2 linked regions of the Styela clava genome follow. The protein of the gene in region 1 interacts with the protein of each later gene in a biochemical or structural test. Links are inferred from orthologs where the notes say so. Each region holds a gene or a part of one and is shown on either strand. Other genes may lie near its edges.

Region 1 (7,763 bases):
TAGCGACTTCGTTTGCATACTTTCCACGGCAGTTTCATTACCTGAATAGGATTGTGAATGTTTGATCATAATGGAATTTGAAGTCTACCAATGAAAATAGTTCGCCGGTAGGCCGTCTGGTCTAACCTACAGAATGGCAGTTCCACTCGACTGCGAGATAACCTTCGCTAGCGTGTTAAAGACGCAATTACGAAAATGGAACTGCAGATCCGTTTTAGATGAACACATGAATAGCTGCGTTCCTGGGCCTTCAAGCACAGAAAGATGTACTAACAACAACAGTTCCGTTGATTTTACCAAAGTAAATTAAGATGCCAGAGAATGTGATTAATGCTGGCATTGCTCGCATGTAATGAGCAATAAATCATTACGTCCATCTGAACTCCAAAATACCGCGACAAAAATTACTCCCGGTGAAAGACGTTGGCATCGGTTTCTTTGCTGCCAACTGCAAGCGAGTTAGATTTGACAGGGACGCACATTGACTAAGTTCGGGTTTCTGTCGGAGCAAAAGCCAATCTTTATTACCACAAAAACAAAATTTATAAACCGTCCTGATGTTGAAATCCGTCTAGCTATAAAAAAGACTGCGCCTAATACGATAAACCTGTCAGACAGTCCTATGAAGCGGGGAAATTTAAGGGGAAAGAATTCCACAGCTTGGGCCCAGTATAACATAGGCCATAGGGCATGCTGGCTCACAGATGTACTGATAAAAGGTATGAACAAATTGGAACTACTTCTTCGATTGGAAGTAATTTTAGTTATTATGTCGTCGAAGCAGTTGGACAAGGAATTGTTATGAAAATCATAAATGAATGATAATACTTCAAATTTTTTTTCTTTAACTGCTTGCGGGCGCGAGCGGGTCGCCAGCCTGAATGAATTTGCTGTTTTATTTTATCTCCTTTTGCCTGGGGTCTATCGCTGATCTCCCATTTCCATCCTAATTTGCTTCTCCCGCTACTGATTTCACTTTACCTTTGCTATCTTAAATATCTTTTTTTCCTCGACTGCTTTGAGGGTCTCGCTGATTTTTATTAAATTTCACTTGTTCCTAATTTCATTTTCGCTGATTCCAAGCCTAATTTTCTCGCTGATTTATATTTTCACTTTGTCTCCATTTTATTTATTTGACTGACTGCGGATTGGTTGCTGTTTTCCTTATTTATTTCCCCTAGCTAGACTGCTTGGTACTTACTGACTTTTATTATCTCTGTTTAGCTGTTTATTTATTTTCCACTCACTGGACTGCTTTCGGTTAGGTATACCGCTGCTTCATTCAATTCACAACTTGCTTGCTTGATTATATTTTTCCTTCACTGCTTTTGGTGATTCAATTATTTTTAATCTCCTTTGTCTCGGCAGCTATATTTTAAATCTTTGCTGCTTCAGCCAGTCTAGTTTCTTTCATTTCCCATCTCAAGTTTTTTTCTTTGGGCCTCCCTGATTTCCATTTTCACTCTCAGCCTTTATTTATTTATTGTCTGCTGACGGATGGCTGCTTTTTTAATTTTTTTCTAATTTTGATATCCAGGTTTCTTTTTTGGAACTTTAGGATAGTATAGGAGTTACATATTTATCCCGGGGGAAAGGAAAGCCGACGAGGCGGCTTAATTATATGACGAACCACGGTCTCTCGTCCGGTTTCCAGTCCAGGTCGGGTATGGGGATTAGTTAGCCAGTTATCTGTTTTCGGAAGCATGGACTTGATGGTGGAGGAAGCCATAACCGACCAGCGGTTACGTGAACCACCATACGGCGGCGAGGAGTCCAGCAATCCTCTCGCAGATGATCATCTGCGAACCCACGAAGGGTAATCAGAGATGCGGTGGCGAGCGTATTCCTAACGCTTAGCACGATGCGCCACACCGCCGAGCCTTTGTTTTTTATTCATCTAATTTCTCTCATAACTTTCTTTTTTAGTTAGTTTTGTGATTGCGCGGGCTCATATATGTATGTTGTAATTTACTCTTCCAATCTTGCTGTTATCGCTCCGTTTTTACCCGACTGATCGAGCGCCTTGCCCCGTTTCCTTGAACAGGGTGTTGTTAGGTATTGATTTGTATGTAATGCTCATCGTCATTGATTGATTTCGATTGCTGCGTCACAGCGATCTTCCCTGATTTCCATTATTTTGTATTTTTACTCCCACTTGCATATCGCTGAGTATATTTTTACCCACTCGATCTTTGGAGCGATTTTCACTCACTCTATACTTAATTCGGTTTAGTGGTCTGCTGCTGGCATCGTCAACTTGCTACATTTCTTTCACGGCTTGCGTCTCGTATGGCTGCCTGCCACTAGTTCCCATTTACCTCCCCCTTTTGCTCTCCTTGGCTGCCGCTCTCGATTGGTCGTTGTGCCTTTTCTTCCCTCGACCGCCTGTGACTCAATCTACCCGGTCTGGTTCGAAGACTTGTCCTCAATGTTTGACTATGTTGCTACGCTTCCCCTGCGCCACCGCTTCTGATGAAGATCGAGTGGATCAGAATCTTACTTAGTTACCGACTCCACGCTTGACAGCCCACGACAAGGCTAAATAACCCCGAAAAAATTTACTATATTTCTATCACCCGGAATAAATATGTAAATCCTATCCTACTTTTCTAAGTTTCACAGCTAATTTTGATGTCCGGTACCGTATCTACTCGAAATGGTATTGTAGAAGTTTTACCTCAGAATCGAAACGAGGTTTTTACAGTCGACACTGCTCCGATTTGACTGCGTCTTGCTTCATTCTACCAGCCACGTTCTACAGTCTCTACGTTCTTGCCAACGTACTCATGTTCGCGCGAATGTTCCACGGTCGCAAAAGCTTTTCCACATGATGCCGCTCTGCGTTTTTCATAGTTACGTGCAAGTTCTACCAAATGCAGAAAATGAGCTTCAAGCACGAGGTTATTCCAATTTCGCAGACGTTTGAAACGACCTGTCCTGCACAGATTTATTGAGTAGAATTCACGTCCAATAGATAGGTGCCGATATCAGAAGACGTTCTGTAACCACTGACCTCCAGACTCTTGGTGGATTAATAAGTAATTACAATTCACTTCGGATGGATAGGTGCCGATATCGTTAGACGTTACCGGTACCGATATGGAACCACTGACTTTCAGACTCTTGGTAGGAGTGGAAGTGGTGACTCCTCTGCGGCCCATGGGCCAGGGCCATGGCCCATAGAATTGGGTCTCGGCCCATCAGGCTATGGGCCGCGACTCACTTGGCTAACACAGACAGTCCCCGAACTCATGATAGAACTAGGCTATAATGTAAAAAATCGGATTTTTTTTGTCCTAACCCTAACCTGGTACACATACTACAGGAGTATATTTTTTTGGTTCGAATATTGACAATTTTGTGAAAATTGAAAATTTTGGTAAGATAATTGAATTTTTCCTGATGGGGCCGGCCCATGGACCGTAGTGGAGTCACCACTCTGCCACTCCTGTAGCTTAGTAGACCAGTAAACGGCAAAATTCGATTTGCCCATTTATTTTAGAAATTCGGCGTCGTAACATTTATTAATATGCCAGTCGTGATATTATCAATCACAGCAAAATACATCAAAATTATTATTTTTTTTGACAATTTTCACATTCTGTCATTTCAGCATTTTATGGCAGTATGGTGGGTTGAAAATGACAACACACTTACTGAAATTTGCTCGAAATTTGGGGAAGTAACTTCCAAGAAGTTGCTAAAAAATTGAGGTTTAAATAAACATTTTGACATCTGAACATGCAGACATGTCAAATAAAGATATCTACCAGCCAAGGCAATTTCACCATGTAATGTAACCTGGCATATGACTTAAAAACATACCTACTTGCTACTTCTGTACTTGCAAGATAGATTTCATCAACATTGGGTAAATTAGGTAAAAAATAACTCCTGCACTATGTGAGTGATCAGGCTTCATGCGGAGCTGTTTTATGCAACAAATAAATATGATATAATCTACTAAACGACATCTTACTGTCTTAGCTTGTGACAGTAGCCATAACATTGACCATTTTGTTGTCGATTTTTGGTACGGCAGCTTTAGCTCGTGCCATGGACATCGTTTGGAGGGTAGGTATATGGCTTATTCGACATATGGGACCTAGCATCTTCATAACTACCCTCGTTTGGACAGGGAGAGGGGGGAATTAAATTGTAACATGTTTCAATAGTATAATTTTAAAATTGAATACAATTAAAACTCAATCATTTCTAGTGCATTTTCTTTGCCATGGGTGACATTTAACAAAGATAAGCAACTGCAGAACTGGGGCTTACTAGCCAGGTTCAAAAAAGATTAGTTTAAACCTCTGGTTTGAATGCCTATTTGACTAGAGAAAAACTAACATACTTTTTAGTGCAAATCTTGTTTTCAATTAATCTAAAAAATTTGGGGCAATGGGGGCAGACTATCTGACGATGGTTATTCACTGCTTTCAACTCTCAGCATGGTCAAATCAAACTTCTGACTTTTCCATGAACCTCATTTCATTTGGACCTCTTGCAATTTTAATTACTGAAAAAAATCTGCTTCCATTTTAAAGCATTTTCAATGTCTTTTTTTATAGATTTTAGCTTACCCAGTTGTCTTATAACAACAGAATAATGGGAATTCTCGGTCTCTCAAAGTTGATATTCGACAAAGCCCCATCTGCTGTCAGAGAAAATAGCATTAAAAATTACTTCGGTCGAAAAGTTGCGATTGACGCCTCAATGGCCATTTATCAATTTCTGATTGCAATTAGACAAGATGGAAATCAATTAACAAATGATGAAGGAGAAGTAACTAGCCATCTTGCAGGATTGTTTTATCGTACAATTCGAATGTTAGACAATGGTATAAAGCCTGTTTACGTCTTCGATGGTAAACCTCCTCAGATGAAGTCTGGTGAGCTCGAAAAGCGAAAGGAAAGACGAGAGGAAGCTGAGAAGAAACTTGCGGAAGCAACAGAGGCAGGAGAGCAAGAAGAAGTTGACAAATTTCAAAGACGACTCGTGAAAGTCACTAAACAGCATATGGATGATTGTAAAAAGTTACTTACTTTTATGGGAGTCCCTGTCGTCTCTGCACCAACTGAAGCAGAAGCACAATGTGCTACTTTGGTAAAAGCTGGAAAAGTTTATGCAACGGCCACAGAAGATATGGATGCTCTTACATTTGCATCCAATAGACTTCTACGACATATGACATTCAGCGAAGCAAGAAAAATGCCAATACAGGAATTCACTCTAGAAAAAGTGCTTCAAGAAATGGAAATTACACAGGAACAATTCATTGATTTGTGTATTTTACTTGGTTGCGACTATTGCGGGTCCATTAGAGGTATTGGACCTAAACGTGCCTATGACCTCATCAAACAACATAAAACAATTGAAGATATTTTGGGGAATATTGACAAGAAAAAGTACACAGTACCAGAAGATTGGGCATTTGCTCAAGCAAGATCATTGTTTATTGAACCTGATGTTTCTCCATGTGATGACATTGAACTTAAATGGAAAGAACCAGATGAAGAAAAACTCATCGAGTTTATGTGCAAAGAAAAAGGTTTCAGTGAAGATAGAATTCGAAATGGAATCAAGAAGTTAATGAATAGTAAGAAGCAAAGTACACAAGGCCGTCTGGATGACTTTTTCAAAGTCAAAGTATCAGCATCACCAGCTGTGAAAAGAAAATCTGATCCCAAGGGCAAGAATACACCTGCAAAGAAAGTGAAAAAGGAATTCAAACGAGGAAAATGATCTTCTAGAAAATAATCAATATCAAAAACATTTTTGTGTATGCATAAGATACTCAAGAATAATCAATATCAATACTTTTATTGAGTCTGATTAGATAACAGAGCGAGTGAACATGTTCATTTATGGGAACAATGTCTTGTGTTACCTTGTAACCTTGTTGGTTAGTAGACTTGTTCCTATTTTGTAATAACGGCTATTTTGCTATTTTTTTCCCACCTTATGGACTCCAAAAATATTTCTGTGGAAGCCAGGATACCCAGGTGAATAAATAATCTACACCTCTTATCTCTTCGGCACCTAATTTGTGTATAACTTTGCGGTATATGCCACATTTAATTTGAATATATGCTCATTTTAGGGCTGCATTCATAAGGAAATATGAGATTTAAAATCAGTGGTATATTATTGAATAAAGAACTTGCTTATAACTTCATGTAATTGAAGTTTTAATCTCATTTCAACTCATTTGTTACACATTATTGAATAGACTGTTCTTTTTGTACTATTTTTCATACCTTGTTCCTCGTAAAGTTAGATTTTTTTCAAATCACAGCCTTTATGTAAATAAGCGGCCTTGTGTCTTTTGTTCTCTCTACCCCAGGATGAACATTTATCTTCTTTCAAAACAATCATTGAATGATATAATTTGTTATTAGCAATTTAGCATATCCATTTTTGTTTGTGTAGTATTTGTGATACATTGTCAAGAATTCCATTTTAAATAAATATGCATATCCTGGCTCGAGATCAATGAAAAGTTTAAACTTCGAAGTTTAAACCCTTATTATTTTTGTATTGAATGCTGTAAAAAATAATATCAACAAATCTTCTTCAGTGGTCTTTTTAAAATAAGGTTTTCAAATATATTGCCAGATGCTGACTTAATATACATATTATACATTCTCTCCGCTAGATGGTGCTCAAGATTAATAAAAATTAGATTTTTGTTCAGAATGTTTATCAGTTGGACTGGAATTTCGAAAAGATCATTCATTATTGATATTTATATAGCATTCAATTCTACTGTACTTGCATAACATTTGCTTATCTCGTTGTCAACCTATTATGTGCTTTGCCAAACTTTTTGATTGCCTCACTGCCATTACATTGACTCTTTTTATAAGGTTTTTGTACACATTGTTTTAGACATGCTTTCATTGCCCACTTCTGAAAAAGTTATCTCAATCATATTTTGTTAGCTTCAGCTTTGTTCACAATCTTAGCATATTGTTTTTTTTTTTCAGCTTATTAATAAAATTCAGAATAAAATTTTCCAATGAAAAATATACCTACTGAAAAGAGCTCAGTTGTTGCCAAGATGGCCGCGCAATCATGCGACGTTGAACGATTGATTTATAAATATTTTATAGATCGTAAAATGACCAAATTGGCAAAAAAGTTTCGGAAAATCACGGACACTAAATTACCAGAGTCGGATCAACCAACTTTGAAAGAGGCATATCAATTATGGAAGGAAACTCAAGTAGACCAAAAAACACCGAATGGAACAAGTACAACAAATGGAAAAACTACAAAAAGACCAAGGAAAGCCGATCCACCATCTAGCTCTGAAAGTGATATGTCATCATCCGATGAAGAGAAGAAAGTTCCAGCTAAAAAGGCTAAAATTATCCCCAAGAAAGAGGATTCTTCTGAATCCAGTGAGGATACATCCTCTGATGATTCTGAATCAGACAGTGATAAAAAGAAAGAAGTAAAAGCGACTGTAAATAATAAGAAAAAAGAATCTAGCTCTGAAGAGGATAGCTCAGAGGAAGATTCAAGTAGCGATGAAAAAAATAAGAAATCCGCATCTGGGAATCTAGTAAAAACTACAGTTTCAGAGTTGAATGGAAAGAAAGATCCAAAGAAGAGTAAATTAGAGAAAACAAGGGAACAAGAATCATCTTCCAGCTCATCTGAAGATTCATCAGATGAGGAGAACACTTCAAAAAGCGTTGCAGTAGTGAAAAAGCAACCTGTGAAAAAGAAAGAATCATCAGATTCCAGTGAAGACT
Region 2 (7,772 bases), on another chromosome or scaffold:
CCTTACATATAGACAATAGGATTATCGTATTGAAGCACCCTGATACATACTGAAGTAAAGTGATTGGCACCTTATAATATGTCGCCAACAACAGGTATCTTTGATGCGACCACACGCGTAGGTTGAGGTCGCAATAAAGCCTTTTCCGTCCGTGTAAAACAGACACCACAGTTTTTATTAATAATAGTTTAGTCTAGCGTTACGTCGAGTGTAAGAAATACCTCGGTATGATATTTCGTCAGAGACAGAAACAGACGAAACACTTTCGCTTGTTCTGTGACGTTTACTTGCGCAAGAGTAGCCTAGTTGCGCAAATACGTATTAATATTTACTTAATACATTCAACACACAAAATATATCGGTGTTTCCCATCAAACGTCAAATTTATTTTTACCAGTAATTTTATGTCGCCGAAGTATAGTTTCACCTGTTTACTACATGAACTGCATGAATTTGATAAGCGTTAAGTTTACAGTTCCTAACCTGAGAATGGCATAGTCTAACTTAGTTTTGATTCTGAATGGATCTGCTGTATGCAGGCTGTTGATTTCAGTGAAATAAAAATACTATTGTCATCTAAAAAGCCTTTTGCGTTTTTGGTAATCCTACTATTAAAATATCGTCATCATAGAATATAGATAGATATTAGATTCTATTATTGCCAAAGCCAAAAACAAGAAGCGGGATATAGATTTCAATAAGAAAAACATAAATAACTCATTTTCACTAATTCTCAATCTACCTCGGATATTCTCGTCCGGGAAAAAAATGCCATGCGAATATATACACCTTTTAAACATGTCGCATTTGGGATGTAATTCGATATAATTTTTTTTTTTTCATTTCTACCCGATTTCTATAGCGGTTACAGGCATTTCTTAAAATTTTGAGAACGAGATTTACTAATATATTCTAATCGTTATAACAAAATAGACCTCATTTGACTCGCAAAATTTCTTACAAGTCAGGGCGGTAAGATAGACTACAGAACCACCAGTGGTATTAAACTTGTCCCTACTGAAATATATCTTTCCTGTAGCTATTAGTTCAATATATCTGATCATATTGCGAGTTGGCATTTAAACTAAAAAAATATAAAAGTGCGGTCTCGCACTGTTATTGCATCACCACTTTTATATCTTATTTTCTGATTGTGTCGTCTATCGTAGGTTAGTTAGAATATTTCAGATTTTAATATTGCCCCACTTTTTTCCTTTTAATATTGATGAGGATGCAGCAATAACGTAACCTACCATAAACTAACCTAGCCTAAGATAGTGGTGAGACAATATCAAAATCATAAATATTTAATTTTTTAAAGTACAGTACTCACCATTTTATACTGTGTGACTGTGTAGAACTGAAATTTTGCGAGAAGTCGATCGAGGTTTTTATATTGTAGAAAAGGGGGTTTCTCACTCGAAATTACAACAAGGGGCGTTTATGGAAGAATTCCCCAGAAGAGGCGATGATGTAATGGTCGACGTTTCATGTTTACGCTTAGTGCGCGTGACACATTGCTCAAAAGCGGTTTCGAAGAAGATCGCATTCGAGTTAGGCATAATTCGTTCAACATTTTGTAAGTAAATGTTGAATATTATAATTTGTTGATCTATTTTAGTTCAACTCATTCAGTTTCAGAAGCAACAAATGAAAAGCAAAAATTGTTAATCTTCGTTTTTACCGAAACTACTTATTCACAGACGACTAAAGCCACAAGTGTCGAAACTATATATATTGCGAAAATATAAGCTGATAGTTAGCTGCGAAACAAAAGAGTTTCGACTTGTATCGTATCTTTCTATTTTTATTTTCTTCTTACTTTCTCTCTTTATGAAAATAAAACTCCTGACATTTCGGTGAATTGATACCTTGAGGTTATGTACAAATAACTTGATGCGATATCACTTTTTCATAACCGCTAGGTATCAATTCAGCGAAATGTCGTGCATCAATTCTTAAATTCTTGTATCCCTGATAAACATCTATTTCATTCAACGATTTCTGGTTTTTTTGTTTTCGGGGTGGATTATATCAGAAACATCTCCAATTTCAGCTACGCGGTTCAACAGCAAATAAGCATACGGTGTTTCCCCGAATATAGGACAGGGTGGTATTTCAATTATCTTCCAAAAAATAGCACTAGGGCTCATTTTCGGTGATGTGTTTCAATTTCATTTATTAAAAACGAAATTACAAAGTAGAAAATAACGAGATTTTCAAATATGGAAACCGATATCCCTTTACTTATAAATAACGCGTTTTTATTAAAAAAAAAAAAAACTGCTAAACATAGATTGATTTGAAATAAACCATATCACCATCCTCTGGAATGTCTTGCATGCCAATGAAGATTTAATTTAATTGAATTTTTTGTCGAATTTTTGCACCTGTAGTTTCATGTCGACAATGAAAGGTCTCATCGATTGAGAACTTCATTGAACCTTATCGTCTCATATACATAGATTAATCATTTAAAACGCGTGGGAGAGATTTCTTTCTATCGACTAAGTCAAAAGATACTATCGCTATGTCTTATTTTAAGGGGGAGGGCTTATAAAATCATTTTCAAATTTGAGGCTAGGTTTTATTTTCGGGAAAACAAGGTAGTATGTTTTTTTAAATGCCTGGTATCAAACGTTTTGAAAACCTTTTCACCCAAGCGTATTGGCAAAGCCAATATAAGGGAAATTACATAAACTTCTTCAATGGAACCAGTCGGGAGCGATTGCAGTTCCTGATTATGGAACGAAAAATATTCCCATCAGCAGTTCCCATAGTTTGTAATTGGTGGAGTTCATCACCCATTGATTCAAAAAAAAAAAACTGTAATTTAAATTAAAGGATCAGGCTTATACAATCAAAATTTGTCAGCTATCGTAATGGGGAACCTATAACATTTTATCTACAAATATTTGCTTTGGTGCGGGATTAGCGATATATATTTTTTTCAATTCCTTCTTTCCGATATATTCACTTTTACTATCGTATCTATGAATTATCAAAAGCCTATAGCTGAAAAGAATTTTTTTTATTGCGCCATTACGTAGTTATGGGTTACTAAGTAAGTAAGAAACTTTATGGTAATTACGTCATTGAAACAAGATAAATCCAAGCGCTTGAGAATGGAATCACTCAATACGGATTACAAGAAGTAGTTTGTGTTGTTGCAACAAAAATACTGCGGTTAGTTACTGCACCACCCTGTCCATATATTTGTAAAATGCTGTTATTTTGGTTTCAATATATTTGGGGCTACTCGGAGCAAATTAAGTTTATTTTGAAAATATATGCCAGTACATGGGTTATCCGCTGTAGATCACAATTCTCTGTTTCAAGTAAGTCACCGACTCAGCATGCCATGGAAAGATTTTTAGGTGGACCACAGAACTATTAAAAAATGCCACAGTTGATTTATGTCACTATCAATAATTTTGATTGCACTAACAATGATTGTTTTCTGAGTAATAAGTTTCTTTCTAATTATTAAAGTGAAAGTGTCCATTTTTACAGAAAGATTTGGATTTTTTTTCTAGTTTATCACTTGCAAAAATGTATGGGTCACAAGAATTTTTGGGCAGCGAAAATTGGCCACAAAAGTAAAAAGGTTAAGATTTGAGAACCACTGCCCTAGATGGATAGATATGCATAACTACCGTGTTTCCCGAAAATAAGACTGGGTCTTATTTCATTTTTTTCGAAAAATAACACTAGGACTTATTTTAGGGGGATGTCTTATATTTTCATTTATCAAAAACAAAATTATGAAGTAGAGAATTACAAGATTTTCAAATATGAAACCGATATCAAATTACTTTTAAATAACACGTTTTTAACTGCAAAATAACTGCAAAACATGGATTACCAATCATTCAAAAAGTTTAGGAGAAATTTCTTGCTATCAACTACCGGTAGGTCGAAAAAAAATCACGTTATTGACCAGGTCTTATTTGAAGGGGGTGGTGGCTTATATTAAAATCATTTTTAAAATTAAGGCTAGGTCTCATTTTCAGTGTAGGTCTTATTTTCGGGGAAATCAGCACAAGAAGCAAAAATACTGCGGAGAAACTAACAAAAATGCGTATATAAATTTTTGCACTAACACGAACAACAATTTAGCAATACGAATTATAGTTATGAACATATTCAGGATGCGGAACGCATCATTCCAATTTTCCGAAGAACTAAGAAAGAAAAAATGACCGGGCATTTTATATAGAACTACGTTGCACCTACAACACAGAACTCACGATAAAGAATTTCATGCAAAGACAATTAGAACAATCGTTAGAATTCCATGGATGAACTCAATAAAAATCTGGCAACTAAGAATAGCTTAACACTTTCTTATGGGGGATCCCCCCGATTCACATTGCCGCGCTTGTTCAATTGTGGAATTTGCGAGTCGCTTATGCTTTTAAGTCACTAAAACAGGATGCGTTTTCGAGCAAAAGTTGTTGATATCGGATGTGTGCACCACTTGACAAGTGAGTACTATTTCCAGGCTGTTCAAGGAAAGAAGTAAACTATTTACCCATAGTTTCAAATTATGTAGGCTAGGTCTATATAAAACTAACACTTTAGTCTAGATACCGGTACCGTCAGGCGTGTGGTACCGGTACCGTATCGTACTCAAACCGGGTTCAGGGATATTTCCCTATAATATAATATCAAAACCGTGAGAGCTAGTACATCCATACATGGTTAACATACCGTGAGTAAGTAAGTGTTAGTTAGAATTATTCAATTTATGCATTGTATTTCAGGAGTTGTGAATACAATATCCAAACTTTTAAAGAAATGCACCCTCCGTTTCACTTCTGAAAAAGTTTATTTCATTCTACCAGATCAGGTTTCTAATGGAGGGGTCAGCATGTGGTGTGAAATCAAGCAGGTATGTGTTTTCGTATTAGATATAATGTGTTGGCCAATTTCAATGATAATTGAGCATTCAGGGAACTCAATCATTGTCAGAGTGGCACCCAATCAGCTTCTACTTTTTGGATTTACATATTTATCCCGGGGTAGAGGAAAGACTCTTTAATCGGCCTCTCGTCCGGTTACCAATCCATGTTGGGTATGGGATTAGTTAGCCAGTTATTTATTTTCGGAAGCATGGACTTGATGGTGGAGGAAGCCGCAACCGATCACATGAACCACCCTACGGCGGCGAGGAGTTCAGCAATTCTTTCGCACATAGCTATCCCCGGATACACGCAGTGTAATCAGAGGTGCGAATGCATTCCTAACGCTTAGCACGATTCGCCACACCGCCAAGCCTTAATTTTTGTTTTCATATAAAAAGTAATTTTTCAAACTTGAGTTATCCGGATACAGAGTATTGAACGATATGCATTTTTCTAGGAAAACTTCTTTGATGAATACCAGATGGAAGGAGTAAACAAGGATTGCAATGAAATCTATCTTGAGGTTGTAGCAGAAAATTTAAGTCGAGCACTGAAATCTGCACAAGCTGCAAAAGCATTAAAAATCAAACTGACGAAGAAACAAAGTCCATGTCTATCACTAGAAGTTGAATTGGTAAAGATATATAGAATTTAAGACATAAAGGGCTTTATTCATTGATAATTGCCATATAATAAAACATTTCAGCCATCTCTAGCGTCTGACTCGCGGACTGTAACACATGATATTCCTGTAACAGTAATACCAAGAAGACTGTGGGGAGATTATGCAGAGCCAAATATGCCAAACTACCATGTGACAATATTTATGCCTCCATTGAAAATGGTGAGATCGTTTTAAATACCAATAACAGTGTGTTTAATCAATATGCCTGCCTGAATTTGCATATTAATTTATACATATATAGTTTTTATAGGGCCTAAAATTATTTTTATGCCATCTTCAATTTGTATGAAAAAAAATAATTGTTATCAGGTCAAGACAATTGCGGAAAAAATGAAAAACATCAGCTCATATTTGATTCTTGCTGCAAATCAGCAGGGTGAGATGTTGATGAGAGTTGACACAGATCTTGTTACAGTGAAAACTAGGTAAAGCTGTTCAACATATTATTTCAAAGTATCTGCATGTCCGAAACTGCCAATCATGTGTCTGGTTTTCTGCTTTCTTGTATACATTTGTCCTGACATGTAGTCATCAGATTAATATTTCAAGGACTATTATTACAATAATTGAATAATATTATTACAATAACTCGAAAATTTTTTGCATTTCATTTTTGTCACGAAAGACATCAATAGATCGTTTGAAGATATTTGGTTTGATATTGATTGGCTAAAAATGACACCAGGACATATCTACAGTATAGTCCAGTGCTGTGAGGTCAGAGTTTGGTTGTCCTAGACCAGACAAGTATGGCCCGTGAGCGAAATCCGGCCCGTCCGATGCTGCCACGACCAAACTTTGATGTTTTAGTTAAATATAACTCAAGGTATTTGTTGAGATTGCGGTTAAATTTAGTTTTGGCATGAGGTTTATTGTTTTCCACTGTTGCTTTTGTAACACTGTAAACATTGTTCATAAAATGAAACTCTTTACCTCATACTTACATGGCCCGCCAGTCTAGGTGGGCAAATTGGCCCCTAATCTAAAAACCGTGCCCACACCTGTCTGCCCTAGACTCTGCAGCCCTAGTATAGTAGGTGGTATACATGACAAAGTGCGAGCTCGAATTTGTGTGCTGTTTCCGATATTTTGACAATAAAAGCAGACATTTTTTATGTTTTTAGTTTTCAAGATCTGGATATCCCTGATGTGCGCATGGAAGATGAAGAAGTCCAAAGTGTCTCTCACAGGCTTGCTTGGCCTCCTGATGAGTTTGCCAGTGCTAGAATAGATATCAAAAAATTTCTGCAGTTTTTGGCAGGACAGATTATAAACCCAGAGCGTGTGATTTGCAGTAAGTGTTTTTGGACATGAATTGACCTATGTATCTTTTTGTTGTTGTTGTGAAAAATTTGCTTTTCTCTTCAACTACTCGACGAATTGTTTTAAAATTTCAGGTGGTGAGAGCTTGTTGCTATTATTTTTATTTATTTCAAAAATTTCTGTGTGATGGCCTCATTAAAATTGGAAACTGTGCACCGTAGTCACATCTCAGTGATTTGGTGGTTAGACTACTTGCAGTGTAAAAGATTTGATACTACTTGTTTTGGCCTTTGTGTCTATTTTGAGCAATGGCCAGTTTTCAGTTTTTGTTAAATATTTATTTAATTCCCCAAATTTGACATGTGCTATAACAAATGAAATGTCATTTTTTGCAGATATCGTTGATGGGACCATAGTACAATTTTTCCTTCTTCATGATGAATTATCTCTGCAATATTTCATACCTGCCATAGCAAGATGATACTTCAATATGTGTTAATGTTTTTCTGAACTTGTTAATATATATTTTTTGTTCAACTTTGTATGTATGTGAATTTTCCTGTTGCCCAAATTGGTGGATAAAATGTAGTTATCATAGAGAAAACATAGACAGGTCATGCCAAGCTCTTATTCAATGGTTGCAAGTTTGGGCTGACCAGACACTCAAATGACTTGGAACCTTGTGAAGACAGAGGAACGAAGGTGTACTTATAGATGTTGAATGGCGGTGGTTGAGAAAGAAATGCTGCTATATGAGACAAGCAGGAATAGGCCAGAAAATATGTGTGACGCACTAACTAAGAACAATCGAACCTACGTCAGTTGAGGCCAGACCCCTGGATTTCAAATCTGGTCTCAAAACAGCAACCCTAGTATTGAGCTCATGATTGCGGTCCCTCGCCCTTTATGTTCTTTTA

What was found.
Region 2: the proteins of flap endonuclease 1-like (region 1) and checkpoint protein HUS1-like form a complex in vitro, tested with the Homo sapiens proteins (2 studies listed by BioGRID). The link is inferred for Styela clava from reciprocal best matches to the Homo sapiens genes FEN1 and HUS1.

What each region holds. Positions count from the first base shown.
Region 1 is NC_135261.1:11,300,569-11,308,331, forward strand, and holds flap endonuclease 1-like, read left to right. Parts: upstream 1-4,548; 5' UTR 4,549-4,608; coding exon 4,609-5,745; 3' UTR 5,746-6,987; downstream 6,988-7,763. Other genes in the region: uncharacterized protein LOC120330391, read left to right, coding at 7,022-7,763. UniProt on the Homo sapiens protein: Structure-specific nuclease with 5'-flap endonuclease and 5'-3' exonuclease activities involved in DNA replication and repair.
Region 2 is NC_135253.1:6,347,608-6,355,379, reverse strand, and holds checkpoint protein HUS1-like, read left to right. Parts: upstream 1-4,344; 5' UTR 4,345-4,435; coding exon 4,436-4,487; intron 4,488-4,766; coding exon 4,767-4,894; intron 4,895-5,364; coding exon 5,365-5,541; intron 5,542-5,613; coding exon 5,614-5,751; intron 5,752-5,901; coding exon 5,902-6,017; intron 6,018-6,716; coding exon 6,717-6,886; intron 6,887-7,250; coding exon 7,251-7,336; 3' UTR 7,337-7,397; downstream 7,398-7,772. Other genes in the region: uncharacterized protein LOC120327064, read right to left, coding at 1,334-1,336. UniProt on the Homo sapiens protein: Component of the 9-1-1 cell-cycle checkpoint response complex that plays a major role in DNA repair. The 9-1-1 complex is recruited to DNA lesion upon damage by the RAD17-replication factor C (RFC) clamp loader complex.